2 linked regions of the Anolis sagrei genome follow. The main gene of each other region encodes a partner of the protein of the gene in region 2 in a complex. Links are inferred from orthologs where the notes say so. Each region holds a gene or a part of one and is shown on either strand. Other genes may lie near its edges.

Region 1 (15,626 bases), on a different chromosome or scaffold from region 2:
CTTTGTTGAGTTCCAGGGCCAGAGAAGTAGATGGCGGAAACAGAAGAACGGCCTGCCTCAGGGGAGCGTGCTTGCTCCATCCATGTTCAACATTTACACAAATGACCAGCCACTGCCAGAAGGGACAGAGAGTTTCATCTATGCTGATGATCGTGCCATTACTGTTCAAGCAGGGAACTTTGAGATGATAGAACAGAAGCTATCCAAAGCTCTAGGTGCTCTTACTGCCTATTACAGGGAAAACCAGCTGATCCGTAATCCATCTAAAACACAGACATGTGCTTTTCACCTTAAGAACAGACAAGCATCCCGAGCTCTGAGGATTACCTGGGAAGGAATCCCACTGGAGCACTGCAGCGCACCCAAATACCTGGGAGTCACTCTGGACCGTGCTCTTACCTACAAGAAGCACTGCCTGAATATCAAGCAAAAAGTGGGTGCTAGAAACAATATCATATGAAAGCTGACTGGCACAACCTGGGGATCACAACCAGACACAGTGAAGACATCTGCCCTTGCACTATGCTACTCTGCTGCTGAGTATGGATGCCCAGTATGGAACACATCTCACCATGTTAAAACAGTGGATGTGGCTCTTAATGAGACATGACGCATCATCACGAGGTGTCTGCGCCCTACACCACTGGAGAAATTACACTGTCTAGCCGGTATTGCACCACCTGACATCCGCCGGGAAGTAGCAGCCAATAGTGAAAGGACCAAGGCAGAGACATCTCCAGCTCATCCCCTGTTTGGGTATCAGCCAGCACGTCAACAACTTAAATCAAGAAATAGTTTTCTAAGTTCTACAGAGACACTCGCTGGAACACCCCAGCAAGCGAGAGTCCAAAAGTGGCAGGCTCAAACCCAGAACCAATGTCTGATACCAAATGAGAGACTCCCTCCTGGGTACACAGAAGACTGGGCAACTTGGAAGGCGCTGAACAGACTGCGCTCTGGCACCATGAGATGCAGAGCCAATCTTAAGAAATGGGGCTACAATGTGGAGTCCACAACATGTGAGTGTGGAGAAGAGCAAACCACTGACCACCTGCTGCAATGCAACCTGAGCCCTGCTAAATGCACAATGGAGAACCTCCTTGCGGCAACACCAGAGGCACTCCAAGTGGCCAGATACTGTTCAAAGGACATTTAATCAACTACCAAGCTTGCAAACGTTGTGTTTTATCTGTCTGTTTGTTTGTGTTGTTAAAAATGTAATACAAATGTCTGGTTGCTCCTGACACGATAAATAAATAACTACTACTACTAGCCATCCCCTGCCACGCATTGCTGTGGCCGAGTCTGTGTATATGTGTTGTGTTTGTGTGTATATATGTGTGTATATATATTTGTGTATATATGTATATATGTGGTTTTGCACATGAGTTGTAATGTATTTTTTATTTTTTTGGCTTTTAAAGTCTCTTCTGCTGTGTTTTTCAGTGTTTTTATCAATTATGGTCACTTGTTGGCCTGATAGGTGTATTGTGTCCAAATTTGGTGTCAATTCACCCAGTGTTTTTTGAGTTGTGTTAATCCCACAAACAAACATTACATTTTTTTTATTTATATAGACTGAGAACGCAGGGAGATATCAACACTGGCAGGCTGTCATTCCATTCACCTCCTCGGAGATTCTTGCAGCCGGGAAGGCATCAAATATGAGGCTTGTCTGTCGGGGGTGCTTTGATTGTTCTTTTTCCTGCATGGCAGGGGGTTGGACTAGAACTAGATGATCCATGTGGTCTATTCTAACTCTATGATTCTGTGAGGTCTCCTCCAAGTCCCCTCCAGGAGAGTCAGTGCTGTTTACCCCAAGTAAGTCTGCCCAGGAGAGGTAGAATCATAGCATTCTAAAGTTGGGAGAGACTCCAAGGGGCATCTAGTTCAACCCCCTGCCAATCCAAGCCCTCCCGGGAGATGGCTTTCCAGCCTCTCCTTAAAAGCTTCCAGAGAAAGAGACACAGAGGTAGCAGAGTCCACTGTCAGGAATTTCTTCCTCATTTTTAGATGGAATCTCTTTTTTTTTCCTGCAGTTTCAATCAATTTCTCCTTTGTGTCTAGGCTCTGGAGTAGCAGAGAACAAGTTGCTCCCTTGCTCAATGGGGCCTTCTCTTCAAGTTAAACATACCCATCTCCCGAAGCCCATATTCAGAGGGATCCATGGCAGTAAGTGTGAAAAAGATCTTGGAGTCCTAGTGGACAACAAGTTAAACATGAGCCAACAATGTCATGTGGTGGCAAAAAAAAGCCAATGGGGTTTTATCCTGCATCAATAGGAGCATAGTGTCTAGATCTAGGGAAGTAATGCTACCCCTCTATTCTGCTTTGGTTAGACCACACCTGGAATATTGTGTCCAATTTTGGGCACCACAATTCAAGAGAGATATTGACAAACTGGAATGTGTCCAGAGGAGGGTGACTAAAATGATCAGGGTTCTGGAGAACAAGCCCTATGAAGAGCGGTTTAAAGAGCTGGGCATGTTTAGAATGAAGAAGAGAAGGCTGAGAGGAGACATGATAGCCATGTATAAATATGTGAGAGGAAGTCACAGGGATGAGGGAGCAAGCTTGTTTTCTGCTTCCCTGGAGACTAGGACACGGAACAATGGCTTCAAACTACAAGAAAGGAGATTCCATCTGAACATGAGGAAGAACTTCCTGACTGTGAGAGCTGTTCAGCAGTGGAACTCTCTGCCCCGGAGTGTGGTGGAGGCTCCTTCTTTGGAGGCTTTTAAACAGAGGCTGGATGGCCATCTGTCAGGGGTGCTTTGAATGCAATATTCCTGCTTCTTGGCAGGGGGTTGGACTGGATGGCCCATGAAGTCTCTTCCAACTCTATGATTCCATGAGTCTATGATTCCAGATCTCTGATCCTTTTGGTGGCCATTCTCTATGCACCTTCCATCTTGTCCAACTCCTTCTTGAATTGCTTTGCCTGGAACTGGACCAAAGCACATGAAAGTGGGACTATGGCTTCCCTTATGCTGCTATTGATGCAGCTTGGAATATTCTTGGCTTTTTACCTGCTGCAGCACACTCTTGACTTGTGTTCAAGCTTGTAGTCTCTTAAGACCCCTAGATCCCTTTCCCACGGACTGTTTCCAAGCCAGGGGTCCCCATCCTATATATGCGCATTTCCTTTTTATTGCCAAAGTGTAGTACCAAGTGTAGTACCAAAGTGTAGTCTCCCCGTTGAAATTCATTTTGCTTGTTTTGGCCAATCATCTCTCTAGTTATTCCAGGTGAGGCCTGTTGGGCTGCAGCGCCCATCGCTCACAGATAATCAAAAAGGACCAGAGAAGTCCTTTAGTAACATCGGCTAAACACTAAAGAGCACTGACTGCTATGTATATACGTATACACATTTGATTTTCTCAAATCTAATGCTCACCTTTTTTGACTAAACTCCCTTGCACAAATTAGGATGTGCATTCAATTCGTGTAATAAGGTACACTTAGTGCTGACCCAAAGCAAAAGGGGAAGCTGCTTCAGGAGCTACACCTGGAGCTCCTATTTGAGGAGCACTATTTCTAATTTAATTGCCTTGGCTCAATGCTATGCCATCCTGGGATTTGTAGTTTGGTGAGGCATCAGCATTCCTTGCCAGAGAAGGCTCAAGGCCTTGTAGAACTACGTCCCCCATGACTCCTTAGTTAAAGTGGATCCATTCTACAGCATAGATGCGCCTCAAGGTTTTCCTTTCCGTTGCTGAAACCTTTGCTAGTCTAACATGTTTGTTTTTAAAGAAGGAATCCTAAGCAAGCAGCAATGGTAATGGTCAAATGACAAAGAGGGCACTTTGGGCTGCTTTTTGCACATGATGTTTGCCAGCAACTACTTTTGGGGGTTTTGAAAACGGAGGTGCGCCTTAGATTTGATGGCGCGCAAGACTCGAGTCAATATGGCATTTTATGTTATTACTATTTGATGGTGCATGACTTGAGTCAATATAGTATTTTATGGTTTTTTTAATTATTGTTGTTATATTACTCGAGATATGTTGAGATTACTTGAGATATGTTGTCGAGTCAATACAGTATTTTATAGAATACTAGAGTTGGAAGAGACCCCATGGGTCATCTAGTCCAACCCCCTTCCCTTCCGCCATGCAGGAAAACCATAATCCAAGCATCCCCGACAGATGGCCACCCAGCCTCTGTTTAGGAAGGAGCTTCCGCCAGACTCCAAGGCAGAGAGCTCCACTGTTGACCAGCTCTTCTTACAGTCAGGAAGTTCTGCCTAATGTTCAAATGGGATCTCCTTTCCTGTCATTTGAACCCATTACTCCATTGAGTCCTAGTCTTCTATTATGCTTATTATTATTATTATTATTATTATTATTATTATTATCTGATGGCGAATGAGACTTGAGTCAATACAGTATTTCATGTTTCAATATTATTATTATTATTACTATTTTTGATGGTGCATGAGACTCAAGTCAATAAGGTATTTTATGTTTCACTATTGTTATTATTGTTATTATTATTCGAAGGTGCATGAGAATCGAGTCAATATGGTATTTTAAATTGTTATTATTTGATGGCGCACAAGACTCAAGACAATATGGTTTTTTATGTTTTAATATTATTATTATTATTTGGCATATGAGACTTGAGTCAATACAGTATTTTATGTTTTAATTTTATTATTAGTATTATTATGCCATGGCGCATGAGACTCGAGTCAATATGGTATTTTATAGAAGACTCCAGGGGCCATTCTATCCAACCTCCTCCTCAGCACAATCAAAGCATCCTCACCAGATGGCCATCCTGCCTCTGTTTAAAAGTTTCCAAGGAAAGAGCTTCCACCAGACTCTAAGGCAGAGAGTTCCACTGCTGAAACAGCTCTTATTACAGTCAGGAAGTTTTTCCTAATGTTAAAGTGGGAGCTCCTTTCCTGTCATTGGAACCCATGGCTCCATTCAGTCCTTGTCTCCTATTATTTTGTTGTTATTCTTGTTGTTGTTAATTACATGTATATAACAACGCAGCACACATGCACATTAAGTCAAAGTGTCTGGGATTGGTCTCTTTCCAAGGGCCTGGGATAGAATCATAGAATCAAAGAGTTGGAAGAGACCTCATGGGCCATCCAGTCCAACCCCCTGCCAAGAAGAAGGAATATTGCATTCAAATCACCCCTGACAGATGGCCGTCCAGCCTCTGTTTAAAAGCATCCAAAGAAGGAGCCTCCACCACACTCCTGGGCAGAGAGTTCCACTGCTGAATGGCTCTCACATTCAGGAAGCTCATCCTCATGTTCAGATGGAATCTCCTCTCTTGTAGTTTGAAGCCATTGTTCTGCGTCCTAGTCTCCAAGGAAGCAGAAAACAAGCTTGCTCCCTCCTCCCTGTGGCTTCCTCTCACATATTTATACATGGCTATCATATCTCCTCTCAGCCTTCTCTTCTTCATTCTAAACATGCCCAGCTCCTTAAGCCGCTCCTCATAGGGCTTGTTCTCCAGACCCTTGATCATTTTAGTCGCCCTCCTTTGAACACATATTAGAGATATGTTGTTGTTGTTGTTGTTATTATCATTATTAGATGGCGCATGAGACTCAAGTTAATGTGGGTAGTTAGTTTTGCCTCTGTAGCTAGGGACCCTTCCAGATAGTCCTATACCCCAGGATCTGATGGCAGTTTTTCTGTTTATTCCAGATTATCTGGAAGAGCAGACTCATATAATTGGGTTTAAAGCAGAAAACCTGGGATCGGATCCTGGAGGCCCTCCCAGACAAGCCTTACATCCCAGGATCTGATCTCAGGTTTTCTGTTTATGTCATGTATAATGTATATTGTATTTAGAGGTTTGTGTTTATTGTGGCATTTAATTATTGCCAATTTGGAAGCTGCTCCGAGTCCCCTTTGGGACTGAGATACAGTGGGGTCAAAATACAGCAAATAAATAAATAAATAAAATTGTCCCAGGTTATCTGGAAGTGTGGACTCATATAATCCAGTTCAAAGCCGAAAACCTGGGATGGGACCCTGGGGGCTCTTCTAGACAGGCCCTATACCCCAGGATTTATTTATTTATTGTATTTCTGCCCTGCTCTATCTCACCCTAGAGGGGACTCAGAGAGGCTTTTCTGTGTATCCCAGATTATCCGACAGGGTGGACTCATATAATTCAGTTCAAAGCTGAAAACTTGGGATGGGACCCTGGGGGGCTCTTCTAGACAGGCCCTATACCCCAGGATCTGATGCCAGGATATATTTACTTATGGTATTTTTACCCTGCTCGATCTCACCCTAGAGGAGACTCAGAGTGGCTTTTCTGTGTATCCCAGATTACCTGGCAGTGTGGAGTCATATAATCCAGTGCAAAGCAGAAAACCTGGGGCCCCTTCTAGACAGGCCCTATATCCCAGAGTTTGTTTATTGGTTGATTTTCTGCCCCTCTCTATATCACCCTGGAGGGGACTCAGTGACTTGTCTGTGTATCCCAGATTATCTGGCAGTGTGGAGTCATATAATCTAGTTCAAAGCCGAAAACTTGGAAGGGAACCCTGGGGGGCTCTTCTAGACAGACCCTATATCCTAGGATCTGGTGCCAGGTTTTATTTCTTGAGTGCATTTCTACCCTTGAAGGTGGCTTTTCTGTGTGTCCCCGATAATTATGTGTCAGTGTGGACTCCTAGAATGTAGTTCAAAGCAGAAGACCTGGGAGGGGATGGTGGGCTATGGGGCGTGCCTGGCGTTTGAGCCTGGCTTGGGCCGGGGCTGCGTTTGGCAGGCCTGAAGTGTGGCCCCCGCCGGGTGGAGGCCAGGGCCCGGCTGCTTGCAGCAGAGGCCCCTCCTTCCGGTGCGGTGGGGACACTACATCTCCCAGGATGCCCCCCGCGGCCGGGCTTCCGGGGCAGGCGCCTCACCTCCAGCTTCTCGCTGAGCTCCTTGTGCATGCGCTCGTACTGCCCGCTGAGGTCCTGGTTGCGCTCGAGCAGCGCCTTGCCGAGCCGGGCGGCGAGGAGCAAGTCCTTCTCCTTTTGCCTCATGAGGGAGCGCAGCTCCGGCTCGGCGGCCTCGCTCTCCTGGGCGGCGGCGGCGGCGGCGGGGCGGCTCTCCTCACAGCCGGCGGCGGCTAGCAGGGCGAGCTCCTCCTCCAGCACCAGCTCCAGGTCCGCGGCGGCGGAGGAAGAGGAAGACAAGGCCGGGTCCGGCGTGGCGGGCGCGGCGTCGCGGCCTTCGGGCAGCTCCATGCGGCGCCCGGCGCTGTCCAGATCCGCGGGTGCTGAAAGGCGGAGGCAGGAGGCGGCCATGGCCCGGGGGAGGGAGGGAGGGGGGGAGAGAGGGGCAGGGGCAGGGAGGGAGGGAGGAAGGGACCGCGCTCCGCTTCTCCTCCTCAGGCTTCTCCTCCGGCGTCCTTCCGCCGCCGCTTCCGACGCCGCCGCCGCGGCCCGCAGTCACGGCCACCCCGCGCGGCTCGGGCGGTCGGGCCGGCTCCGCGGCGCCCCTCCCGCCCCATCTCCGCCCGGGCGGCGCCGGCAGGACATCGCGCGGGACCCGCTGCCGACGCCGGATGCCAGCCGCCAGCCCCGCGCAGCCCTGGCCCCGCAGGCCCCGCCCCGCGCGCCCCTGACGCCGAACAGCACCTGTTCCCACGCCCGCTCCCATTGGCCCGCGCGCCGATGACCACGACGCCCCGCCCACAGGTGCCCGCCTCGGCCCCGCCCACCCCCGCAAGCCCCGCCCCCCGGCTTCACCCCTGCCTGCCCGGGCGGGCACCAGAACATTCCTGCTCCTGTTGGCAAGGCGCGCAGCCCCGCCTCTCCAGATGGAACACCGCGCCAGACACAGCCAGGCCGGAGCCCTCCCACAGGGCGCCACAGACCCCCGGGGGGGGGGGGGCTCCCGTCCAGCCCCCTTCCACCAGGCAGCGAGGCACCGCCCGAGCCCTGCCAACAGAGGGCCAGTCAGCCTCAGCTTCAACACCTCCCGAGCAGAAGACTCCATTACTAGCCTTCTCATTTTACCATCCCAGAGTTGGAAGGGACCCCCAGGGCCATCCAGTCCAGCCCCCATCCGCTATGCAAGGAGACACCACCAGAGCCCTCCCAACAGAGGGCCATTCCCTATCTCCAGAGAAGACTTCATTATTACTATTATTATTTTACCATCCCAGAGTTGGAAGGGACCCCCAGGGCCATCCAGTCCAGCCCCCATCCGCTATGCAAGGAGACACCACCAGAGCCCTCCCAACAGAGGGCCATTCCCTATCTCCAGAGAAGACATCATTATTACTATTATTATTTTACCATCCCAGAGTTGGAAGGGACCCCCAGGGCCATCCAGTCCAGCCCCCTCCCACTATGCAGGGAGGCACCACCCAAACCCACACAACAGAGGGCCATCCACACTGTGTTAGAATGACAGCATCCTAAGGTTGGAAGGGACCCCCAGGCCCTCTCGTCCAGCCCCCTTCCACTATGCAGCGAGCCCTGCCAACAGAGGGCCATTCAGCCTCTGCTTAAACACCTCCAGAGGAGAAGACTCCATTACTAGCCTTATTATTTTACCATCCCAGATTTGGAAGGGATCCCCAGTGCCATCCAGTCCAACCCCCATCCACTATGCCCTCCCAACAGAGGGCCATTCCGTATCTCCAGAGAAGACTTCATTATTACTATTATTATTTTACCATCCCAGAGTTCGAAGGGATCTCAAGGGCCATCCAGTCCAACCCCCTCCCACTATGCAGGGAGGCACCACCCAAACCCAGACAACAGAGGGCCATCCACACTGTCCTAGAATGATAGCATCCTAAAGTTGGAAGGGAGCCCCAGGGCCATCCAGTCCAGCCTCCTTCCACTATACAGGGTGACACCACCCAAGCCCTCCCAACAGAGGGCCATTCCGTCACTGCTTAAACACTTCCAGAGAAGACTCCATTATTAGTATTATTATTATATCATCCCAGAGTTGGAAGGGACCCCAAGGGCCATCCAGTCCAGCCACCTTCCACTATACAGGGAGACACCACCCAAGCCCTCCCAACAGAGGGCCATTCCGTCTCTGCTTAAACACCTCCTGAGAAGACTCCATTATAAGGGAGTATTATTATTATACCATTGCAGAGTTGGAAGGGACCCCCAGGGCCGTCCAGTCCAGCTCCCTCCCACTATGCAGGGAGACACCATAGAAGCCCACACAAACAGAGGGCCATTCTGTCTCTGCTTAAACACCTCTAGAGAAAGAAGTTGGTGATGATGGTTTTTATTATACCGATACCATCCTAGACCCCCACGGCCTTCCAGTCCAACCCTCTTCTGCCGGGAAAGACACCATCTAAGCTCTCCAAACAGAGGGCCATCCACACTATCCTAGAATAATACCATCCTAGAGTTGGAAGGGACCCCAAGGGCTATCCAGTCCAACCATCTCCCACTATGCTGGAAGACACAAGCAGATGGCCATCCATCATAGAGTTGGGAGAGACCCCAAGGGCCATCCAGTCCAGCCCCCTTCCACTATCCAGGGAGACACCATTCAAGTCCTCCCAACAGTGGTCCATCCACACTGTCCTAGAATGATACAATCCTAGGAGTCAGAACATGAGGGAAAAACCTAGAGAATGTATTAATGAAGAATGGGCTAAGTCAGATACAGGCTATTGGAAGCTGTCTCATCTTGAGTCGATCTGTGGCCCATTTAAGCCAGTCTTGTCCTTTGGGGGTGCCCATTTAATAAATCCTAATTTTAACTGGAGAATGATGGGAGTTGCAATCCAAACAGCATTCCTGAGCCCTGCTACAGCTTGCTTTGAAGCAGGTTGACTCAGAAGGTCATCCCAATGTGCTCGCTGGGCCTTATTATTATTATTAGCATTTTATGAATGCTCCCATTAGAAAATGTATAAGGATGTGGGTGAACTACAGTTCCCAAAAACGTGGGTCAACCCTCCCCAAACCAGGCCTGTACGAACAGTTGGTCAGGTTGCATCTGTGTGCCAAATTTGACCCGACGTTGGCTGAGTTCAGTGCTCTCTGGATGCGGGTGAACTACAACTCCCAAAATCAAGGTCAATTCCCACAAACCCCTGCAGTATGTTCAGTTGGTCATGGAGCTTCTCTGTGACAAGTTTGGACCCAGTCCAATGTTGATGGCGGGGGGGGGGGGGTGTCACAGTTTCTCTGGACGCAGGTGAACTACAACTCCCAGATTCTTAGGGCAATTACCCCCAAACTCAGCTTATATTCACAGTTTGACATGTTGGGTCTGTGTCCCAAGTTTGGTCCAGATCCATTTTTGAGGGGGTTCAGAGTGCTCTGGATGCAGGGTGAATGACAACTCCCACATGGGTGGGTCATCCCCTCCGCAACCCCTCCAATATGTTCTGTTGGCCATTGGGGTTCTGTTTGCCACGTATGTTCCAGATCCGCCATTGGGGTCTTCGGAATGCTCTCTGGGTGCAGGGTGAACTACAACTTCCATGTGGGTGGGTCGGTCCCCCCACAAACATCTCCAGTATGATGTATTGGTCCCCAGGGTTCTGTATGCCATGATTGGCACAGATCCATCATTGGTGGGATTCAGAGTGCTCTGGGTACAGAGTGAACTATAACTTCCACATGGGTAGGTCGATCCCCCACAAACACTGCCAGTATATTCTAATGGTCACCAGGGTTCTGTGTTCGAAGTGTGGTCGGATCCTTCATTGATGGGGTTCAGAGTGGTCCTGATGCAGGAAGAACTATAACTCCTACGCAAGTGTGTCAGTTCCCCAAACTGGGTTTGGGTTTTATGTCCCAAATTTGTCCCAGGTTTGTTAATCGTGCCTGTGAGACGTGAACTGTCTACAGACGTCACATGCAACTCCTGGAACGATTCCATCAGCGCTGCCTCCAGAAAATCCTGCAAATCTCTTGGGAAGACAGGCGGACAAACGTCAGCGTGCTGGAAGAAGCAAAGACCACCAGCACTGAAGCGATGGTCCTCCACCATCAACTCCACTGGACCGGCCACGTTGTCTGGATGCCCGACCACCGTCTCCCAAAGCAGTTGCTCTACTCTGAACTCAAGAACGGAAAACGGAATGTTGGTGGGCAGGAAAAGAGATTTAAAGATGGGCTCAAAGCCAACCTTAACAACTCTGGCATAGACACTGAGAACTGGGGAGCCCTGGCCCTTGACCACTCCAGCTGGAGGTCAGCTGTGACCAGCAGTGCTGCAGAATTTGAGGAGGCATGAATGGAGGGTGAAAGGGAGAAGCGTGCCAAGAGGAGGGCGCGTCAAGCCAACCCCGACCGAGACCGCCTTCCACCTGGAAACCAATGCCCTCACTGCGGAAGAAGATGCAGAGCAAGAATAGGGCTCCACAGCCACATACAGACCCACAAGAACACTGGAAGACAATCATCCTCGGAAAGCGAGGGATTGCCTAAGTAAAGTAAGGGGGGTCGTAGTGGTCTGTGGAAGTGGGTGAAGGTACTGCAAATCCCATTGTCTGTGGTCCATCCTCCCCCAACCATCAGCAGGACAGAAAGTGCATCATAGGGAGTCTGTGTGTTAAATTGGGTCCAGGTGCATTATTCGTTCAGGTTGCAGTGGTTTCTGATAGTGAGTGATGATACTGCAATTCCCATAGTGCATCCTTCCCCAAACCTCACAAAGATGTAAAGTAGACCATGGGAGGCCTGTGTGGCAGGTGTGGTCCAGATCCGCCATTTGTGGGAGTCGCAGTGGTCTCGGGAAGTGTGTGAAAGTATTGCAAATACCATCATCCGTAGCAAGTGTGGTCCAGATCCATCATTGGCTGAGTTCACAGTGCTGTCTGGATGTAGATGAGCTACAACTCCTATAAATCATGGTGAACTCTTCCCAAACCTCTTGTTCAGTTGCTGATCAATTCCTGTTTGCTGTGTGCCATAGGAAAGTGGTTCTGGCCCCACTTACCTCTCCGAATGCATCTCCACCTATGAACCGACTAGAACATTAAGATCGTCTGGGGAGGCCCTGCTCTCGGTCCCGCCTGCATCGCAGGCGCGTTTGGCGGGGACGAGAGACAAGGCCTTCTCAGTGGTGGCCCCTCGGCTATGGAATGCCTTACCAGCAGACATCAGACAGGCACCTTCGTTGCTGGCGTTTCGGAGAAAGGTCAAGACTTGGCTTTATGAACAAGCGTTTGGTTAAACAGTGCAACCGAACATAGGAAGACGGTAAATGGAACATAGGAATGGCACAAGGATTACAAGAACGGATCTGATTTCACGGAGGCGATGTTTGATTTGTTAATTGTTGTTGATTGATGCTATTGATTTTGTTGTTATATTTGTTGTGTTTTAATTGCACTGACATTGTTGTGATAACCTGTACCATGTAAACCGCATTGAGTCGCCTGTATAGGCTGAAAAATGCGGTATACAAATAAAGCAAATAATAAAATAAAATAATAATAGGAAAGGGTAAGGGGAGAGGCATTGGGCGGGGTCATGCAAATTCCACAGCAATAGAAAGAGTAAGGAACCCTGGGATGTCCATTCTGGAGGAAAAACAGAACATCTAGGATGAAATTGTCCCTGAATGAAAGCCTTCACTTGAGGGCGGGCAGTATGGTCTTTGTGGAGGACATTGGCAAGGTTTGGGCTACATGGTCATGGCGCCCGCCGTAACCTGTAATGTCCTTGGAGGGAGGGCTTTTGGTGGCTCTTCAGCACTGCGGGTTAAAGCTGTTTGGAGGTGGGAGTCTGTCTGTGTAAGTGGGCACCTCTGCCAAATACACACATACACTTTTTCACTTTTATTATGTGTATAGATAGATAGATTATTAATACCCCACCTTTTTCCCTCCACAAAGGAGGCTCAAAGCAGTCTACTCTCCAGAAAGTGTGCATAGGATTCCCAGTTAGCCCTCTGCACAGGGGCTCAGCAATGCATCTTTGCACTTAATTGCACTTACTTATTGAGGCTGTCGTGCAGCAGGGTGCAACAGGTCGAAACAGGGAAATGAAACAGAACAGTACTGAAATACATATAACAACATAGACACAAGAGCACACCTATCAAATGGAGGGTGAAATCCGTGGTTTTAGCTTTGAATCCATTTTAAAGATTTGGACTGGTCATTTGAAATTCATACCCTGATGTTTTGTTCTATTTTAATGTTTGCATATTGTTGGATTTCAAAGTGTATGGAAATGCTTTTATTGTAGGATGATTTTGAGTCCCCTTCACAGAGAGAAAAAGCGGGGTATAAATAAACACCAAAATAAACATCAACCTAGGTGTTTTGGCCTACAACTCCCAGAAATCCCAGCCAGTTTACCTACTGTTAGGATTTCTGGGAGTTGAAGGCCAAAACATCTGGGGATCCACTGCTCTAAAAGCTAGAAGTTGTGAGGCCAGGAAAGTTTCTTTTGGCAGAGAGTTCCGCAGGTCATGGGCCAGCATGGAAATACCTTTCAGACCAACAACAACAACAACAACAACAATTTGATTTTGTGTTCCTGCATGGCAGGAGGTTGGACTGGATGGCCCTTGTGGTCTCTTCCAAATAATAATAATAATTATTATTATTATTTATTTATTTATTTATTTATTTACAGCATTTATATTCCGCCCTTCTCACCCTGCAGGGGATTCAGGGCGGATTACAATGTACACATATATGGCAAACATTCAATGCCAATTAGACATACAACGTATATAGACATACACAGAGGCTATTTAACTTTTCTGGCCACCAGGGGAGCTTTCGCTTTCATCGTCCATCTGCGACACTGATGAAGTACTTCCGCATTCCCCGCATGCTTTGCTGGAGTCTTTTTTGTGGCCTCATAAATTAGTTAAATTAGCCTCTCCACACATAGATGGTACCTAATTTTCCTACTTGACAGATGCAACTGTCTTTCGGGTTGCAAAGGTCAACAACAAGCTACACAATTGGTCGGACGCTCACTCCAACCCAGGCTGGCTTCGAACTCATGACCTTTTGGTCAGAGTGATTTTAATGCAGCTGACACTCAGCCAGCTGTGCCACAATCCTGGTAATAATAATAATAATAATAATAATAATAATAATAATAATAATAATAATTTGAAACACAACAAGATGAGTCCACAGCAAACAAGATCATTCTGCTGGCTGTTGTGTTGGATCACACGTCGGACACTTTCCAAGTGTCTAGGACTGTGTGATGTAATGGCGAATAATGCGTACAGATCCCAGTAAGGTGGCCTTTTGCATCTGGCAGATGGTAATTTTGTCAGCGCCGATTATATTTAAGTGCAGGCCAAGGTCTTTAGACACTGCACCCTGTGTGCCGATCACTATTATTATTATTATTATTATTATTATTATTATTATTATTTCTCCTCTCCTTATGGCTCGAGGCGGTGCACAACATAGTTAAAATATATCTATAAAATTTAGGAGTTGAGTCTGTTATGACTCTGATTTTTTCTTTGGATCCAGACCCAAAGCGGCTTTGAATTGGGAACAAACATAACCAGTGCGATGCCTTGACATCTGGCCAGGACTGGCCCTCCCATTTTCAAATAACCCAGGCATTGCCAGGTATCCAAGCTAATAATAATAATAATAATAATAATAATAATAATAATAATAATACTGTTACACAGATAATTCAGTCCTAGACACTTGGGAAGTGTCCAGTGTTTGATATAATACAGCAGCCAGCATAGTGATTGTGTTTGCTGTGTACTAAACTTGGTGTTTTTCAAATAATAATAATAATAAGAAGAAGAAGTAAACTGCTTAAAGTGCAAAAGACAAAGAGTGAATATCGTAAAAATACAATCCAGAGCAAAGAGAAAACTAGCAAAGGAAGGCTCTCCATGGACAGTTCCTGGAAAAAATTTAGAGCAAAATTGACAAATTAAAAACATGAATGTGGCTCACAAATGGAACTTTGAAAAAGGAGACTGAAGACCTGATCCTGGAAGCCCAAAAACAAGAAATTAGAACAAATGCCATCAAAGCCAGAATTGGAAAGCCAACGACAGATCCCAAGTGCAGACTCTGCAAGGAAGCAGATGAAATGATAGATTACATCCTCAGCTGCTGCAAGAAGATTGCGCAGACAGACTACAAGCAGAGGCATAACACCATTGCTCAGATGATCCATTGGAACTTGTGCTACAAATACCATCTGCCTGCGACAAACAACTGGTGGGATCACAAGCCTGAAAAAAGTTACAGAAAATGAGCATGTCAAACTACTCTGGGACTTCTGAATTCAGACTGACAGAGTTTTGGAGCACAATACTCTTGACCTCACGATCGTGTGAAAAAACAAATTATGGACCATTGATGTTGCCATCCCAGGCAACAGCAGGATTGAAGAGAAACAACTGGAAAAGCTGACACGATATGAGGATTTAAAGATCAAACTGCAAAGACTGGCACAAGCCAGTATCACTGGTCCTAGTGGTGATCGGCACACTGAGTGCAGTGCCTAAAGGTTTTGGCCTGCACTTAAACACAATCGTTGCTGACAAAGTCAGCTACAGAAGACCACCTTACTGGGATCTGCACACATTATTCGCCGATAATCACACAGTCCTAGACACTTGGGAAGTGTCCGATGTGTGATATAATACAACAGCCAGCATAGTGATCTTGTTTGCTGTGTACTAATCTTGTTGTTTTTCTAT
Region 2 (16,096 bases):
ACCTTGACACACAAGCAGCACTTTGCATTAAGGGCTAGTGTGAGAAGGAGCACTAGCACATGAGTATGGGGCTTTAGCCTTGTGCTCTTGTCCACTTTGGGAGATTGCTGTTGCTTTTGCAGAAATTAGTTTGTGTGGTTTTTACTCCTATTATGTTTGGTTTCATGAAGAAAGCAGGAGAGAGAAAGAAAGGGAAGGAGGCTGGAATGAGTACAGTATGATGAGTACAGAAAGATGCTACTGCCTTTTTGCTTTGTGTATCCTTGCCACAACTTTGTGCTTCTACCATTTTTATTGTTCCATGTGAATGTGAATGTGCAAGTTTTGCCTTGTTGTTACACTGGCCAACATACATTTTGTTGCCTCAAATGGGTTTCCTTCTCACAGCTTTGTGCTTCTACCATTTTAAAGTTAATCTTTCTTTTTTATTGTTTCATGTGAATGTGCACTATACATTTGGTAGCTTGGCTTCAGCTGATGGTGAGTCCAGAGTTTTGTGCTCTTGTGGTTCTTTGTGGCCATACTGAAACCAAAAATGCCCCAGTGGACAGAAACCCAATTCTTGTTTTGTTATATATTGAACAGTCTAAGAGACCCTATGCCTATTTAAGATATGGATTTTCATTCTTTGAAGGTTCCAGGAGAGGCAATTTTCTCTCATACACTTTTCTTGGTCAGAAAGCGAGTGATCTGGTCTTGGGGAGCCAAAAGGCAACATAGGATTGCTTTGTTTAGTCCTAGTGTAAATAACAAATTGAAACTCTTTTTGGTACATTCTGCTCATATAGCTTCTGTGAATAGTACAGGCATGCAAATTCATCTTTGGTCCTTGACACTTGGTGGCCTGGTTTCAGCTGATGGTGAGTGCATCAAGATGCAGTGAGATTAGATTTGCTGCCTCTACCCTGCCTTCCTAGAGTTCATATCCTCTCCTTTCCCATAAAACAGCCTATTACATTGCCTGCCATTTATCTCATTCATCATTAGAGAGGAGTGGGTCTCTAAGCATGTGCAGATCTCATTTCCATTGATGGTATTTAGATTAGAGGTGTGGTTTCCAATTAGTTATGAGTGCCACTTCCCCCTGTCAAAATTAAAGACTGGGTGTTGGTCATGAAGAAGGGAATCTTCCATTCAGTTTAATAATGTCTGGAAACTCTTTACAGAAACCTGCCTTATGCTTTTCTAGACCAGAGACATTGACAAACTAATGAAATCTTGGGAGGCACACATCTTTTCAGCTTATATACCAAGGCAGGCTTTGCTTTTATCTTAACTCATCTCAGGAGAGTCGTTAGACCAAGAAAGAAGAGTATGTGGTCCTCCAGATGTTACTGGATTGCATTTCTCATGCTCACTCACTAGTACAATATGGAGATGCATTCCAACATCTGGAAGACCACACATTCCCCACCTTCTTTTAGTCATTACCTAGATCTGTTCCCCACTCAACTCATCAGCTAATGAGCATGTTGCAATTTACCCTTTCTGCTAGTTTATTTTTAATTATTAATATTCACCATGATTACGGAGACTGAATTGACAGATCACATTCACTAGAAGGGAGGATACTTCTATGATTTCACCTGTTTTTGTAAGATGTTTGTACAGCTATACTATAATCTATGAAAGAGATATATCCTGAGCCTTTGTTTCTTTAACAGAAAATGTAGTAGCAGAAGCAGAAAAACATGTAAGGAATGGGGATGGGTTCTTACACTACAAAAAGAAAAGCAGTTCAACATATTCAAACAATCGTTTAATTCAAAACTAACTCTACACATGGAAATGAAACTACCAGATTTGGTAAGCCTTGCACATGTAAATACAAACTTTTTCACCTTTCTAAAGACAACCCCAAGTCTTCATCCAAAATACACCATGTAATTTTTTTTTCTTCCACAAGCATTCACTTTTCTTAAGATTTTGATTTTGGTAGTGAAAGTTCTAAATGTATGCTTTAAAAACCTATGTTGAGGGGATGGGGACGGGACCTGGTGAGGCTGCCTTCTCTGTTCTCTTCCTCTCTCTTCCTTTTCATGTTCATACATGCTCAGTAAGGGATTCAAGAGGCAGCTGCTGCTTACTTTGGCCAGGGTCACAAAGCTATATTAGGATTGGCTAGGATAGAATCCCATTCTTTCCCAGCCCAAGATTTTGGGGGATTGTTTATTATAGATATTATGCTGCAGCCAGGCACAAAAGTCTGCATTTCTCCGGCCTTTATTCACCTTCCTCCCAATGCCAATGATCTAAAACTTTTCTAACTAAACAGAGGATGGAGACAAAAACGGAGAGCTCAGCAGGCATAATAATCTTTTTTTAATATGATATTTATTGGAAAGAGCCATTGTTAATTATGTATGTCTGTATTTTAATACATCTTGCTGGAGGTGGGGGGTAATATTACAGCTGTAATCTCTACAGTAGGGTAGGTCACTGATTATCCACAACATCCAAATGTATATGCTCTTGAGAGTTGTAGTCTCTTGATTCATTTTAGCCAGGTACTTTGCTTGGTCTGAGCTTTGAAATGTGCTAACTAAATGGTCCTGTAAGCTTTTTTCAATTTCCAAAATCTGGCTTTGGGCTATTAGAATAAAACTGTAGATTTAGAGACTGCCATTGTTACCTGTTTGTTTGGAAATTGAGGCGAGACTGAAGTCCATTCAGCTTCAGTTTCTCCTGAATTTCTTCCTGGAACAGCGTCACGGGTTCCCTGGGCATAGCATGTTTGTTTCCTGGATTACCAATTTCCTCCTTCTCAAGATATATTGCCAAAGCCAGGTATATGCAATCTTTACACTTCAGCTAGAAGTTAACAGCAGTCTAGGGGCATAAAAAGTTAACTTGCAGCAATAATCTTGTTGGAATATTTTTTCCATTTACTTTGCAGTTTGAGGTTGAAAACAGCAATGAAAGCTGAGAATGAACTGGAGAAATGATTTCCCCCTCTATTGCTGAACCACTTATACAGTTCTCATAGCTATTAGCAGGGAGATGGGTCATGCTTGAGCTCTTCCCTTTTTGTTACTTGCTTCTGCACTATATAACTCCAAAGAGCCCATCTTCAATTAACTTCAGGATAAAGTATTTTCCCCAGACTAGGGGAGTCTGACATACTGTATTCTAAGCAATGGGAAATTTGATTACCAGCCAAGGGATAAGTGGGTAGAATTTGTTTGGGGCCCAGTTCTACCATCAGCTGTGGGAACATGCTGGAGCCCTTCAATGAAATGCCATGAATGTTTCTCTGAAGTGTACCATCTGCTGCATCATTTACCACCAATGTGTAACATGTGTCAGTCTCCAGCACAAAAAGAACCCTTGGAGAGGCCTGGAATTGCATACAGTACAGGAACCTAGAGGAATGTCAATTGTTTATTTGAGGAGCTGTTCAGAGGGGAATGCATTGGCCATTTCCTTATCTGGGTAACAAGAATGTCTAAGCCTGTTTAGTCCCCAGCCTTCCAAAACTGCAGCATTGCACAGTCCCTTTTGATGAAGATTTACATAAAATTTAATGATGCAGCCAGAGCTGCACTTTGGGACCCTGCAATAAATGTCCTCTCTCCATCACAAACTTAGATGGCAGCAGTTGTGGGGAGTAATGAGAAAGAGGCTTGGCATCAGCATCTGCTTGGTCCAGACAGGACTGATGCCGAAGTATCCTTCCTTGCTCATTTATAAAACATTTTAAAACCATGGAGTGAGAAGCCAAAAATATACATGGTTAGATTTTACATGAAATATATATTACAATACTTCTTTCTACAAGGAACAGGAGTGAGAGAATTGCATGGGGGCACCTTCCTCTAGGAGACTGTGCCTCAGGGAGATAATCCAATTAATAATTCTCTACTGTGTCCATCTTGGAGAAATGATAGGATTGCCATTTTTAAATATCTGAAGGAGATCATATAGAAGGTGAGAACTTGTTTCGGTTGTTCCAGGAACTAGAATATGAAGCAATAGATTTCAATAAGAAGAAAAAGAGATTCCATCTAAACATTAGGAAGGACATTTTTTACTGTGAGAGCTGTTCAACGATGGAACAGACTGCCTTGGAAGATGGTGGACTCTCCGTTTTTGGAGGTCCTTAAACATCTTGGAAGGGCATCTTTTAGGAGTGCTTGAGCTATGTCTTCCCATATGCCAAGGGTTTAGACTATATGACTCTTGTGGTCTATCCCAGCTCAAAGATTCTGTGAATCTAACAAAATAGTGTTTGTCAATACATTTAGTATCAGGGTCATCTGAAATAAATTGAACTCCATTTTATTACTATTATGATAGAAGTGAGCTTAACATTTAACAGTAATAATAACTTTATTTTTGTACCCTGCCTCCATTTCCCCAAAGGGACTCAATTTCCCCAAAGGGGTGGCTTACATGGGGATGAGCTCAATCAACATAGTTAAAATATAAAAACAAAATAAAAATAACATCATTACCAAATATCAAAGCAAACATCAACCAACAACATATGAATCTTCAATAATGATCAGTTTCTGCACATGCTCATGTTCTAAAACTTTTGTACTGTGCTTTTTAAACTTGACTAGCTGTGGGATTGTTAGCTACCTTGAGCCCCCACTGGGCAAAAGGTGGGTATAAATAAAGTTAATAATAATAATAATAATAATAATAATAATGCTCAGACTGCTTTTTAGAAACAGGGAGTGCCAAACTGTCATTTTTGTTTTGCTCTAAAAATATGAAGAATGCACCATTTGTAAAGCATGAAGTGGCAGAAAGAGGTGCAAAAGACAAATGTTTGGGTTTTTTTCTGAAATGTTAAACATGGACATTGAAAGCTCCTCCTCTTTCATTTACTTAGACCACTCAATTCAAGGTCTAAAATCACTTAACTATGTTACCAGTAAACCACATGAGCTAATAGACCAAACGCCACTAGGAGTTCAATTAAATTCAAGCCACGTGGCCTAACATGAATTGAAGGAAAAACTGAATACATGCTGGGTGTTCAAGAACATGTGAATATTTTCATGCTTGATGCAATTAAATTTAATTTCAGAATGAGGGAAGAAAAATAGCTGATTACATCAAACTTTTATATTTTTGTTTCCGGAAAGTTTTATAACAGTGAAGAATTTAGTGTGTCATTGCAGTTTTTTTTTTCACGTGGTAAATCCAGCCTCACCGTGCACACAACATGAAATGCTCAGATTGCAGATACAGTGCATGATTCTACAGGTGAACTTAAATGTCCTCTTAATAAATGCTGATGCTTTAAGCATGCCAGGTTGGATCAACATGACTGAAAGGTAGAAGATGAAAGTGTTTTATAAAGCCCTTTGGCAGTAGGCAGGGCAAGTACTGCGTGGTTTAATCCCCAGGTGTGTGCAGGACGGGTAATTGTTTTTGGTTTGCCTTCTGAATTTGCTACCATTTATTTATGATGAAAAGTAACATGGTGAATTACATTAGCTTCTGAAAAATGGGTGATTCCAGGAGGAAATTTGAAGTACTCCTTAAAAAAATAATCCTGAATTTTAGGGCTATTATATAATGCCACTGTGAGAGCTCTCAAATGTTTTCCAGTTCTATAGCCACTTTATGGATTCAGAAGATCTCTTTCTCTTTTTCCATGATTAAATTTACTCAGGAAGCTTTTGGCCACAGACTTTGTAATAAGCTTTTTGAAAGGCCAAGCACAGAGATGGCACTTTGAATGGAATCTAGGACAAGTTTGGAGCATTAAAGTAGGGTTTCCATGACGTGGGAAACCCAGCTCCAAATCCTTTTTCAGCTCCACGACCTGCTGGGTTTCCTTCTCTTATATTGGTACCCTGCTGGGGAATCTCTGAGACAAAGCTGCTTATTCCCACTGGGCAAACCCAGAAGTGATTGGGGAAAAGATGGAAGGTGAGTCATCATTGCCCAGTCCTTAGCATCACCTTAGTGGCTCTCCACCTTAGCAACAACGTCTTCCTTAAAATAATAAAACTGTAATAATGCATTTCCATGCTGTTTTGTTAGATTAACAGAGAGACTGTTGCAATTCCTTGGGGTGAGGAAGGAGCGGTACTGTTCTTTTCATTTAACACAGTGAGATGTCTGTCTCAAGACAACAGATCTGGGGTATCATAAAAGTGCATTGATCATCGAGGGTCCTATCACACTACACTGTTATAGCACTATCTTTCCACTGTAACTGTCATTTCAACATCTTATGGAATCCTAGTATTTACAATTTGGGTATTCAGCAAGCTTTTGGGCCTCACTAATAATAGTTTCTTATCGTGTCAGGAGCAAATTGAGAAACTGTTGCTTCCAGTGTGAGAGAATTGGCTGTCTGTGCGGGCGTTGCCCAGAGGATGCCCAGATGTTTGGATGTTTTACCATCCTGTTGGGGGGCTTCTCTCATGTTTCCGCATGGGGAGCTGGAGCTGACAGAGGGAGCTCATCTGTGCTCTTCCTGGATTCAAATCTCTGACCTGTCGGTCTTCAGGGGGCTCCAATACTGCTACTACTATTACTACTACTACTAATATGAATAATATGCTTTATTTATTTTCTGCCCTATCTCCCCAAGGGGACTCAGGAAGGATTACAGAATGCATATACAGCAAGCATTCAACGCTATCATACAATTGACAAGGACAGACAATACATAAACAGAGGTAAAACTAAGAATTCTACAGGATGTTCCCATGGTAGTTAAAGTGGGATAATAGCACTATAACAGTGTGGTATGACAAGGTATTTATTTGTTATAATTTTTCATTTTACTTCAAGATGTAGGAGATGTAGGCAAAGGAGGAATTTATTGCCTCATGTACTGTCTTGATTGATTTAGTATATTGATATAGATGAAAGGGGAAACATGTCCTAAGGCCTGCTCACACTGCACGGTAATAGCACAATTATGCTTAAACTGCCATGACAGCATCCCATGGAATCCTATAATTTGCTTTTTAGTGAGTGGTATTCAGAATGCTCTATAGAATCATAGAATCATAGAATCAGAGTTGGAAGAGACCTCATGGGCCATCCGGTCCAACCCCCTGCCAAGAAGCAGGAATATTGCATTCAAATCACCCCTGACAGATGGCCATCCAGCCTCTGTTTAAAAGCTTCCAAAGAAGGAGCCTCCACCACACTCCGGGGCAGAGAGTTCCACTGCTGAACGGCTCTCACAGTCAGGAAGTTCTTCCTCATGTTCAGATGGAATCTCCTCTCTTGTAGTTTGAAGCCATTGTTCCGCGTCCTAGTCTCCAGGGAAGCAGAAAACAAGCTTGCTCCCTCCTCCCTGTGGCTTCCTCTCACATATTATACATGGCTATCATATCCCCTCTCAGCCTTCTCTTCTTCAGGCTAAACATGCCCAGCTCCTTAAGCCGCTCCTCATAGGGCTTGTTCTCCAGACCCTTGATCATTTTAGTTGCCCTCCTCTGGACACATTCCAGCTTGTCAATATCTCTCTTGAATTGTGGTGCCCAGAATTGGACACAATATTCCAGATGTGGTCTAACCAAAGCAGAATAGAGGGGTAGCCTTGAGTCACCTTGACTTCCATCAAGTCAACCCCAGGCCCGTAGCCAGGATTTCGTTTCGGGGGGGGCTGAATTTTTTTTCAGGGGGGGTTTCGGGGGGGGGCTGAGTTTTGGGGGGGGGGGCTGAGTCTGAGTGAAAGAGGGTCTAGCCTAGCAAACCTTTTGTATCATTACCCCAATACCCCCATGCATATGGGATATATTGAGTATGGTGATCAGATCATGATAGGAATAAACATAACAGTTTAAATAATGCACCAATAAGGCCTTTTCGCGAACCACCATGAAAATTTCGGGGGGGGGGCTGAAGCCCCCCAAGCCCCCCCCCCTGGCTACATGCCTGGTCAACCCTATTTCTTTTCATCAAGTCAACCCTATAAATGAGAGACCCCTAAGCCACCCAATGTTCATTTAGCCCTGCTCAGGTCTTCAAGACTCAGGGTCATGGCTTTCTTGATTGAATCACACCACTTGGAATGTGGTCTTCTTCTTTCCCCATTGCTTTCTACCTCACCAAGCATTGGTTTGCTGGCTGATATCTGAATAGAGAATGGGCCAGAGATGTCAATGCCTTCACCCTTTCACTACAGTAGAGTCTCGCTTATCCAATCTTTGTTCAGCCAGTGTTCTGTATTATCCAACACAATCTGCCTCCCGCTCAGATCCACGGAGAAAGAAAGAACCCTTGTCTATTTTGGTGCTGAATTCATATAGTAATTACTACATAATGTTACTGTGTATTGAACTGCTTTTTCTGTCAATTTGTTATAAAACATGATGTTCTAGGGCTTAATTTGTAAAATCATAATGCAATATAATCATATTTTATTTATTTACAGTATTTATATACTGCTTTTCTCATCCTGAGGGGGACTCAACGTTTTTTTGTATAGTTCTAATATTTGCATTTTGTAAGATTTGTAAATTGTATAGCTATTCAGATGGTGAGCCACTCTGGCTCCCTGTTTTGGGAGAAAAGCAGAATACAAATACATAAGATTATTTATTTATTTATCATGTCAGAAGAGAATTGAGAATATAGTTATAAAAAACCCCACAAAGTTGAAAACTTGGGATTTTGCTAAATTTCCTTTGGCCAGACGCTGGCCACTTGGGAGTGCCTCTGGTGTCTCTAGGATAATGATGGTGATGGCGATTATGATGAAAATGGTGATTTTGACGATGGTGACAATAATGAAGGGAAAGCCCCAATCAGCTGCGAGGCGGACCCTCGTTCAGGCTGAGAGCCAAGTGTGGCCGCACTTCCCGCGCGCGGCCTGCAGGGGTCGCTGTTCGGAGCCTCATCCGGCGACGCCGCTCTCGCCCCCGCAGCGCTGCGCCGCCAGCTCCTTCCTCTCCTCCCAAGAATTCCTTCAAGAGGGCAGGGCCGGCTCCCATCGGCTGCGGCTGGCCTCCCTCGCTGTGCATTGTGGGAAGGGTAGTTCCGAGGCCTCGGGATAAGCTCGCCCGCTAAGGAGCGGCGGACTACAACTCCTACAATGCCGCGGGGCCAGCGCCTGGCCGTTCCTTTTGAATGATTTCACTGCGGTTTCCATTCCCAGCGAGAAGCGCCGCAGCAAGGGAAGGAAGCGGGCAGGCAGGCAGGCGCCGCAATCATGCTCTGAGGATCCCGCGGGCCAGCCAGGAAATCCACTCGATCCCTTGAATGGCAGCCTGGGCGAGGAGGGCTAGAGGAAAAGGAGCCATGGCCGCACGAAGACTGGCGCGGCTTTGAAGCCTGCAGAAAATCACACACACACGCACACGCATCCCTATTTTGGTCTATGTGGCCAGCGCGGGCTCCGTCTCGCTCTGCCTGCGCCGCATTCCCTCCCCCGCTGGTGGAGAGCGCCGCCGCCGCTGCTTGCCGCTGAGGGCAGCTCTGCTTGGGCGAAGATGTCGGCGTTGCCGGACGAGGAGGAGTACGCGAGGCTGGTGCGGGAGTCGGGCCCGGAGTGGCTCCGCGCGGAGGTCAAGCGCCTCTTCCAGGAGCTGGGCGAGACCACCCGCGAGAAGATCCAGGCGGCCGAGTACGGGCTGGCCGTGCTGGAGGAGAAGCAGCAGCTCAAGCAGCAGTACGAGGAGCTTGAGCTCGAGTACGAGACCGCCCGCGGGGAGATGGAGCAGCTCAAGGAGGTGAGGGAAGGGAAGGGAAGGGAGGGAAGGGAAGGGAAGGGAGGGAGGAAGAAAGGAGGAAGAAGAAAGGGAAGGGAGGAAGAAGAAAGGGGGGGGGGAGATGGGGGGAGAAAGAGGAAGGGAGGAAGAAGCAGGAGGAAGAAGAAGGGGGAGAGGAGCAAGGGGAGGAGGAAGAGGAGGAGAAGGACAAGAAGAGCGGGGAGGAAGAACAGGAGAAAGGGAGGAAGAAAAGATAGGGGAGGAGGAAGAGGAAGGGAGGAAGAATAGAGGAGGATGAAGAGGTGGGGGAGAAGAGGAGGAAGGAGGGAGAGGAAAAAGAGGAAGAAGAAGGCTCAGGAGCAAGGGGAGGGGGATAAACAGGAGCGAAGAGGAAGCGAATGAGGAGAAGGAAGAAGAAGAAATGGAAGGACAAGAGGAGGAGGAGGAAGAAGAGAAGAAAGGGGGAGGAGGAACATGGGACAGGAGCAAGGCGAAGGGGTGGAAGATAAGGAGGATGAAGTGGTGAATGAGGAAGAGGAGAAAGGAGGGAGGAAGAAGAGAAGAAAAGGGGAGGAAGAAGAAGGGGCAGGAGCAAGGAGAGGGAGAGGAAGAAGAGGGGAGGAGGAGAGGGAAGAAGAAGAAAGGGAAGGCCAAGGAGGAGGAGGAGACAGGGTGAGGCAGAAGAGTCAGGAGCAAGGCGAGGGGAAAGAGAAAGAGATTGAGGAGAAGGAAGAAGAAGAAAGGGAACCATAAGAAGAGGAGGAGGAAGAAGAAAGAGAAGGGCAAGAAGAGGGGGAGGAAGAAAAGAAAGGGGGAGGGAGAAGAAGGGTCAGGAGGAAGCCAAGGAGGAGGAAGAAGAGGAAGAGAATGAGGAGGAGAAGGAAAAAGAAGAAAGGACAAGAAGAAGAGGAGAAAGGGGAGGAAGAAGGGGCAGGAGCAAGAGAAGGAGGAGGGGGAGGAAGAAAAAGTGCTGGGGGAAAGAGGAGAAATAGGAAGAAAAGAGAGGAGGACGGAGGGAAAGACAAGGAAGAAAGGGAGGGGCAGGAAGAAGGGGGTGAGGAAGAGGAAGGGAGGAGGAAGTAGAGGAAGAGAATGAGGTGAAAAGGAAGAGGAAGAAGTATTGGGTGAGAGAGAGGAAGAAGAGGGGGAGGAGTAGAAAGTTGAGAGGAAGGAAAAGGCAGAGTAGAGGAAGAGGTGAAGGAAGAATAGGAGCAGGGGGAGAGAAAGAGAGTGAAGAAGAGGGGAGGAAAGCCTACTTGTCCTCTGGGCCCTGGAAGTGGAATGATGAGTGGGTTGCAAGGCAGGAAATATGTATGCATGCTGGAGAGATACAGATTGCAGGGGGGAACATGGGCTAATGCTTACAGCTCTGCCAGCCTGGAAGAGTCCTGCCAGCCAGGAATTGAGTGAACACTCACACACAGACACACATGTTTCTAAGTAGCAGCTGGTGTGGAGGAAGGCCAGGCCTTCTTGTTTTCCTTTATTCTGGGCCCTTGGGGTGGGCTGGTTGGAATGTAATGTTGTTGGGTTTGTTTTTTTTGCAAGACAGGGCATTCCTGCAGGAGATCTATAGCATGAGCCAGTGTGGATCAGGTCAGGCTGGAATTGAATATGCTGGAGATGTATAGCATGCCAGGGGGTGGGTGGGAAGCACTAGCCACAGTGGTTAGAGCAGCCTGGAATTTAGAGTGTGTATGGCAGGGTTGTTTTGTAGGAAAGACATAGGGACCCCCTTGCACATGCCAGAGACATACAGTGTGTGTGTGGGGAGTATAGGCCAGTGGTTGGAAATCCCCTGGGGATTCTGGCCAGGCAGTCGGACTGTGCACTTGGCTGGTGATGATGGCGAATAATAATAATTAATTTGTTACCGACCTCTCCATAGATAAAAACAAGGCTATTAAAACACATATATTCAAAGACATAGACCTGAGATTAAAACACACTGAAATCACAATTCCTACTAATAAAACGTCAGTTCAAATTCACAAAAATATTAGGCCATTGAAACACACACACACACACACATATATTCAAAGACATAGGTCTAAGATGAAAACCCATTAATATTGGTGTGAATGTGTGTGATGTGGAAAGGAAGCGACTCCTTGCCCACCTTCCCTAGGTTTGCACATTGGCAATAAAGTCACAGGAGAAAGGCGCCTTGGCCTTCCTTGTTTCTGCTGGCGCAGTGCCTTGCCATTCCCTTAAAGGGGCAGCTCAGTGTATTCCCTTAATGCACCGTGCCGGTCCCATGACATCTGCAGCTTTCCTCCACACTGCAGGGAAATGGCCAGGACAGTAGATAGGGTGCATCTATACTGTAGAATGAATGCAATCAGACACCACTTTAATTTCCATGGCTCAATGCTATGAGATCATTGGAGCTGTAGTTTTACAGGTCTTGAGCCTTCTCTGCCTAAGAGTGCTGGTCTCTCACCAAGCTACAGCTTCCAGGATTCATTAGCATTGAGTCATGGAAATTAAAGTGGAGTCAAACTTCATCCACTCAGTTGATGCATTGCCACTAAAGATGCCTCTACACTATAGAATGAATGTAGTTTAACACCACTTTAATGGCCATGGCTCATTACTATGGGATCTTGGGATTGGTAGTTTGGCGAGAGGCAGCTAAAATACCTTGTAAAACTACAGCTTCCGGGATTCCATCGCATTGAGCCATGCATTTAAAATGGCGTAAAACAGCATTATTCCTACACTGTTTATTCAACCAAAGTACTGAGGTTAATAATCAAGTTATTGATTGAAATCTGGTACAGGCATCTACAAGAACTGTCCCCTTCCTGGCCTATTTCAGGTTGGCTCGATGGAATTAGCTACTTAGGTCTAAATTACATTATTTAATTGCCTGCTGCATTGTGTCTTCAGATGCACAATTACTGATATTTGGAGAGTGTGGGAGGCATATTTGCTTAACCAGAGAAATGAGTATGCATTTTCAAACAGCTAATAATTAAGGGTTCCTCGGGGCAGTTTTGTCTGCTGGGAGGTTGCAGTGTTAATGCAAATAGATGAACAGTTTATTGAAAGCAACAGAACAAACTCATGGAAGTTCATGGAAGCTCGGAAGGCAATAACTTTAACTTCTCCCAGTGGTGTAAAAACCATTTCAATTGTTACTCTGGATTCTGGAAAGTGTACACCTGCCTAAGAGTTTGAGATATTATTTCAACTATGTTCAGGACTTTTCTTTTGAAGAAAGAGTCCAAAACAGCCATTGTGTGCTCGTGACTATGAAGTATTTGGTTTTCGTTGAATAGGTCTTATGACCACAGTTTTGCACAGGTAAATTAATTTATTATGAATATTTCCCTTACCAACATAATCATCCATTTTTCCCTGTCCCACAATGTGTGCTATAATAGAAGAATGAGTAGCTATGGTCTCTCTTTATTTGGGTAGGTTTGATCAGGTGACTTACTTAGAGCACATCACCTGATTTTTGCTTTTCTAGGTTTTTAACCTCTCATTTTTGTTTTGTTTTTATCACTCATATACCTGCAGCTGAATTTCTGAATTTTACTGATTTTATCCAATGGGTTTTGTGTAGTGAGATATTCACGTTGGTTGTTATTGTTTGATGTTATTGTTTCTGCAATTTTTGTACTTTATGTGTTTGCACCTCTGGGAGATGGTGGCAGGGTATAAATAAAGTTTATTTTATTATATTAAATTAAATAAAAGGATAAACTAAAACATGGAAGCCCTCTCTTTGGTTTTGATTTGAAGCTGTTTAATTGCAAACAGCAGAACTGTCGCTTGGCAGCTGTGACAGTCTGGATGAGGGCAAACAAATTGAAATTGAATTCAGACAAGACAGAGGAACTCCTGGTCAGTCGTAAGGCCGAAGAGGGTGTAGAGTTACAGCTTGTGCTGGATGGGGTTACACTCCCCCCACAGTTTCGCAGTTTGGGAGTGATCCTGGACTCATTGCTGAGCCTAGAACCCCAGGATTAAGCAATGGCCAGGGGAGCTTTTGCACAATTAAAACTTGTGTGCCAGTTGCGCCCGTATCTTGGGAAGTCAGACTTGGCCACAGTGCTCCACACTCTGGTTACATCGGGAATAGACTACTGAAACATGCTGTACTTGGGGTTGCTCTTGAAGCTTCAAGTAGTCCAACAGGCAGCAAGCAGATTTCTCACCGGAGTGGGGTATGGAGAGCATACAACTTCTTTGTTATGTCAGCTCCAGTGGCTGCCAGTCTGCTATCAAGCACAATTCAAATTTCTGGCTTTAGACTATAAAACCCTAAACGTTCCAGCCCGATTTACCTGTGGGATCCTGCCTGAATGTATCTCCCTCTATGAGCCAGCTAGAAGGTTAAGATCATCTGGGGAGACCCTGCTCTCGGTCCCACCTCCTTTGCAGGCGCGACTGGTAGGGATGACAGGCAGGGGCTTCGCAGTGGTGGCCCTCCCAAATGAAATCAGATCAGCTCCCTCCCTCCTCACCTTCAGGAAAAAGCTAAAAATGTGGATGTGGGATCAAGCATTTGGTTAGTAACCCATTAGAGAATACGGAATAGTGCAATGACAATCTGGAATGGCCATGGATTATGATTTTGGATATTGTGATTTTTAATAAGTGTTTTAAGGTTTGATATGTTTTTAATGACTATTTTAATGTATATGTTTATTTTATTATATATGTATGTTTACATGGCATTGAATTGTTGTCTATATATGTAAGGCGCATTGAGTCCCCTACGGGGTTGAGAAAGGCCGGCTATAAATATGGTACATAAATAAATAAATACATTTAATGGACACAAGAGAAGCTGGTTTTTTAAGGTGGCATAAAACATTACAAATTTGCTAGCCATTGGAACAATAATGCAGGCCCAACTTCAGTATTTACTTAACAGAGGAAAAATGTTTAATTAAATAGTGCAAGTCTTTATGATGGCACGGTTTGTTAATGAAGCCTGTTCTCAACCAAGGTGCTTAATATTATCCTCACCGTTTAATCAAAAGAGTTTTAGGAGGTCACTATTAATTATTTTTCAAGGTCTTCTTTAAATCCAAATCTATCTTAGTTTCTGGGAAGACGTATCTATGGAGTGATGTCCATCGCCTGGAGCAGGCCTTACAAATGGTGTGTTTGAACAGCAGTGTGATGCCTTTGTGCTCACTGTTCTGTGTCCCTCCTCTTCTGTGCCATGTGCAAATGTGACAACTGCAACAATCAGCAACATAAGCACAGATGAAAGGCATTTCTGTGGCTTAACTGGGAAGGAGGTGGGATTTCCAATGATCAGATAAGATGAGAATTCAATACCTTTGGATCTTGTTACCCCTTCCTTTGATTGCAAATGCTAAAATGTTATGCTAAAAATTAAGCAGATGTTCTCTACTTATAATTGGGAATCTATACAAGGAGCAGAATCTATTCCATTTTTCTTTGTGTGGAATGTTTTGAGCTGAAACTACACATCATTGGTAGAGAGCCTGATTACATATGGACTGGATTTGGGAAAATTATAATTCTTTACAACTTTGTTGCTATGGGGAAGTCTGGGTCTCATTAGGGACTTCCTAAATTTTTTGCAGATGTGCAGTGAGCTGCCTGAAAAAAACAACTCTTAAATTGCTGCTTATACACAGAATCACAATGGTTAAGCTTGTTCAGAAGAGTTCTAGTCTTTTCCTATGTTTGGTTTAGTCAGAAATAAGTTCACTGGATCTTGATGGGATTTACAATATAAGCTGTTGGAGCTAGGCTTAAGAAATAGCATATTTTTGTATGCCATCTTTCTCCTGATCAGGGATTTAGGGTGGCTAAATGTATAACCATAGCTTCAGAGCTAGCACATAGTCTTTCTCAAATACAATTCTGCATTGGCTTTTTTTATCAGTATCTAAACAGGTTGTATGTATTAGAATATTTTTCACTCTTATTCTTAGTTACACACACTGATTTGTATCCAGATGAGCCATAAAACAAAAGTCTATGCAAATGTACAGTACTTATAACAGCAGGAACACAGTGATTGCATGTTGCTAATTATTAGCATTTCTGTTTAGGCAAAGGCTGAAAAGGCTGCTTAATATGGGAACATGCTCTTTTTCTTTCCTGTTTCTCTATTCTAAATAGCCAGCTTATTTGAAAGAAAAAATATTGTTATGTGTGAGTCTGTAATGTCATCTCTCCATTTTTGTGCCCACCCTGTTCTGGGATCTAGCATTTTTGGTAAAATATTGAGCTGTCAGAAGAGGTAGAACAATCCTGTGAAACAGATTGCATCTTGATTGTTTGTCAGATAGTGATGAAAAATTGTGTAATGAAGAGGAAATAAACATTGCTCGGAGATGCACAGTTATTGTAATTTTTGCTTCCTGCCATTTTTCTTAGACTAAGTAGAGGGATACAGACAATACCTATTGTCTCCTCCACCTGAATTTATATGGTCAGGTGTGCATCTTAGTTAAGCAATG

Evidence for each region.
Region 1: BICD2 (region 2) and BICDL1 share a complex: the UniProt entries of both Homo sapiens proteins name them as parts of the tripartite complex. The link is inferred for Anolis sagrei from reciprocal best matches to the Homo sapiens genes BICD2 and BICDL1.

What each region holds. Positions count from the first base shown.
Region 1 is NC_090034.1:46,093,894-46,109,519, forward strand, and holds the start of BICDL1 (BICD family-like cargo adapter 1), read right to left. Parts: upstream 7,547-15,626; 5' UTR 7,274-7,546; coding exon 6,887-7,273; intron 1-6,886. UniProt on the Homo sapiens protein: Acts as an adapter protein linking the dynein motor complex to various cargos and converts dynein from a non-processive to a highly processive motor in the presence of dynactin.
Region 2 is NC_090022.1:61,124,700-61,140,795, forward strand, and holds the start of BICD2 (protein bicaudal D homolog 2), read left to right. Parts: upstream 1-8,935; 5' UTR 8,936-9,416; coding exon 9,417-9,656; intron 9,657-16,096. UniProt on the Homo sapiens protein: Acts as an adapter protein linking the dynein motor complex to various cargos and converts dynein from a non-processive to a highly processive motor in the presence of dynactin.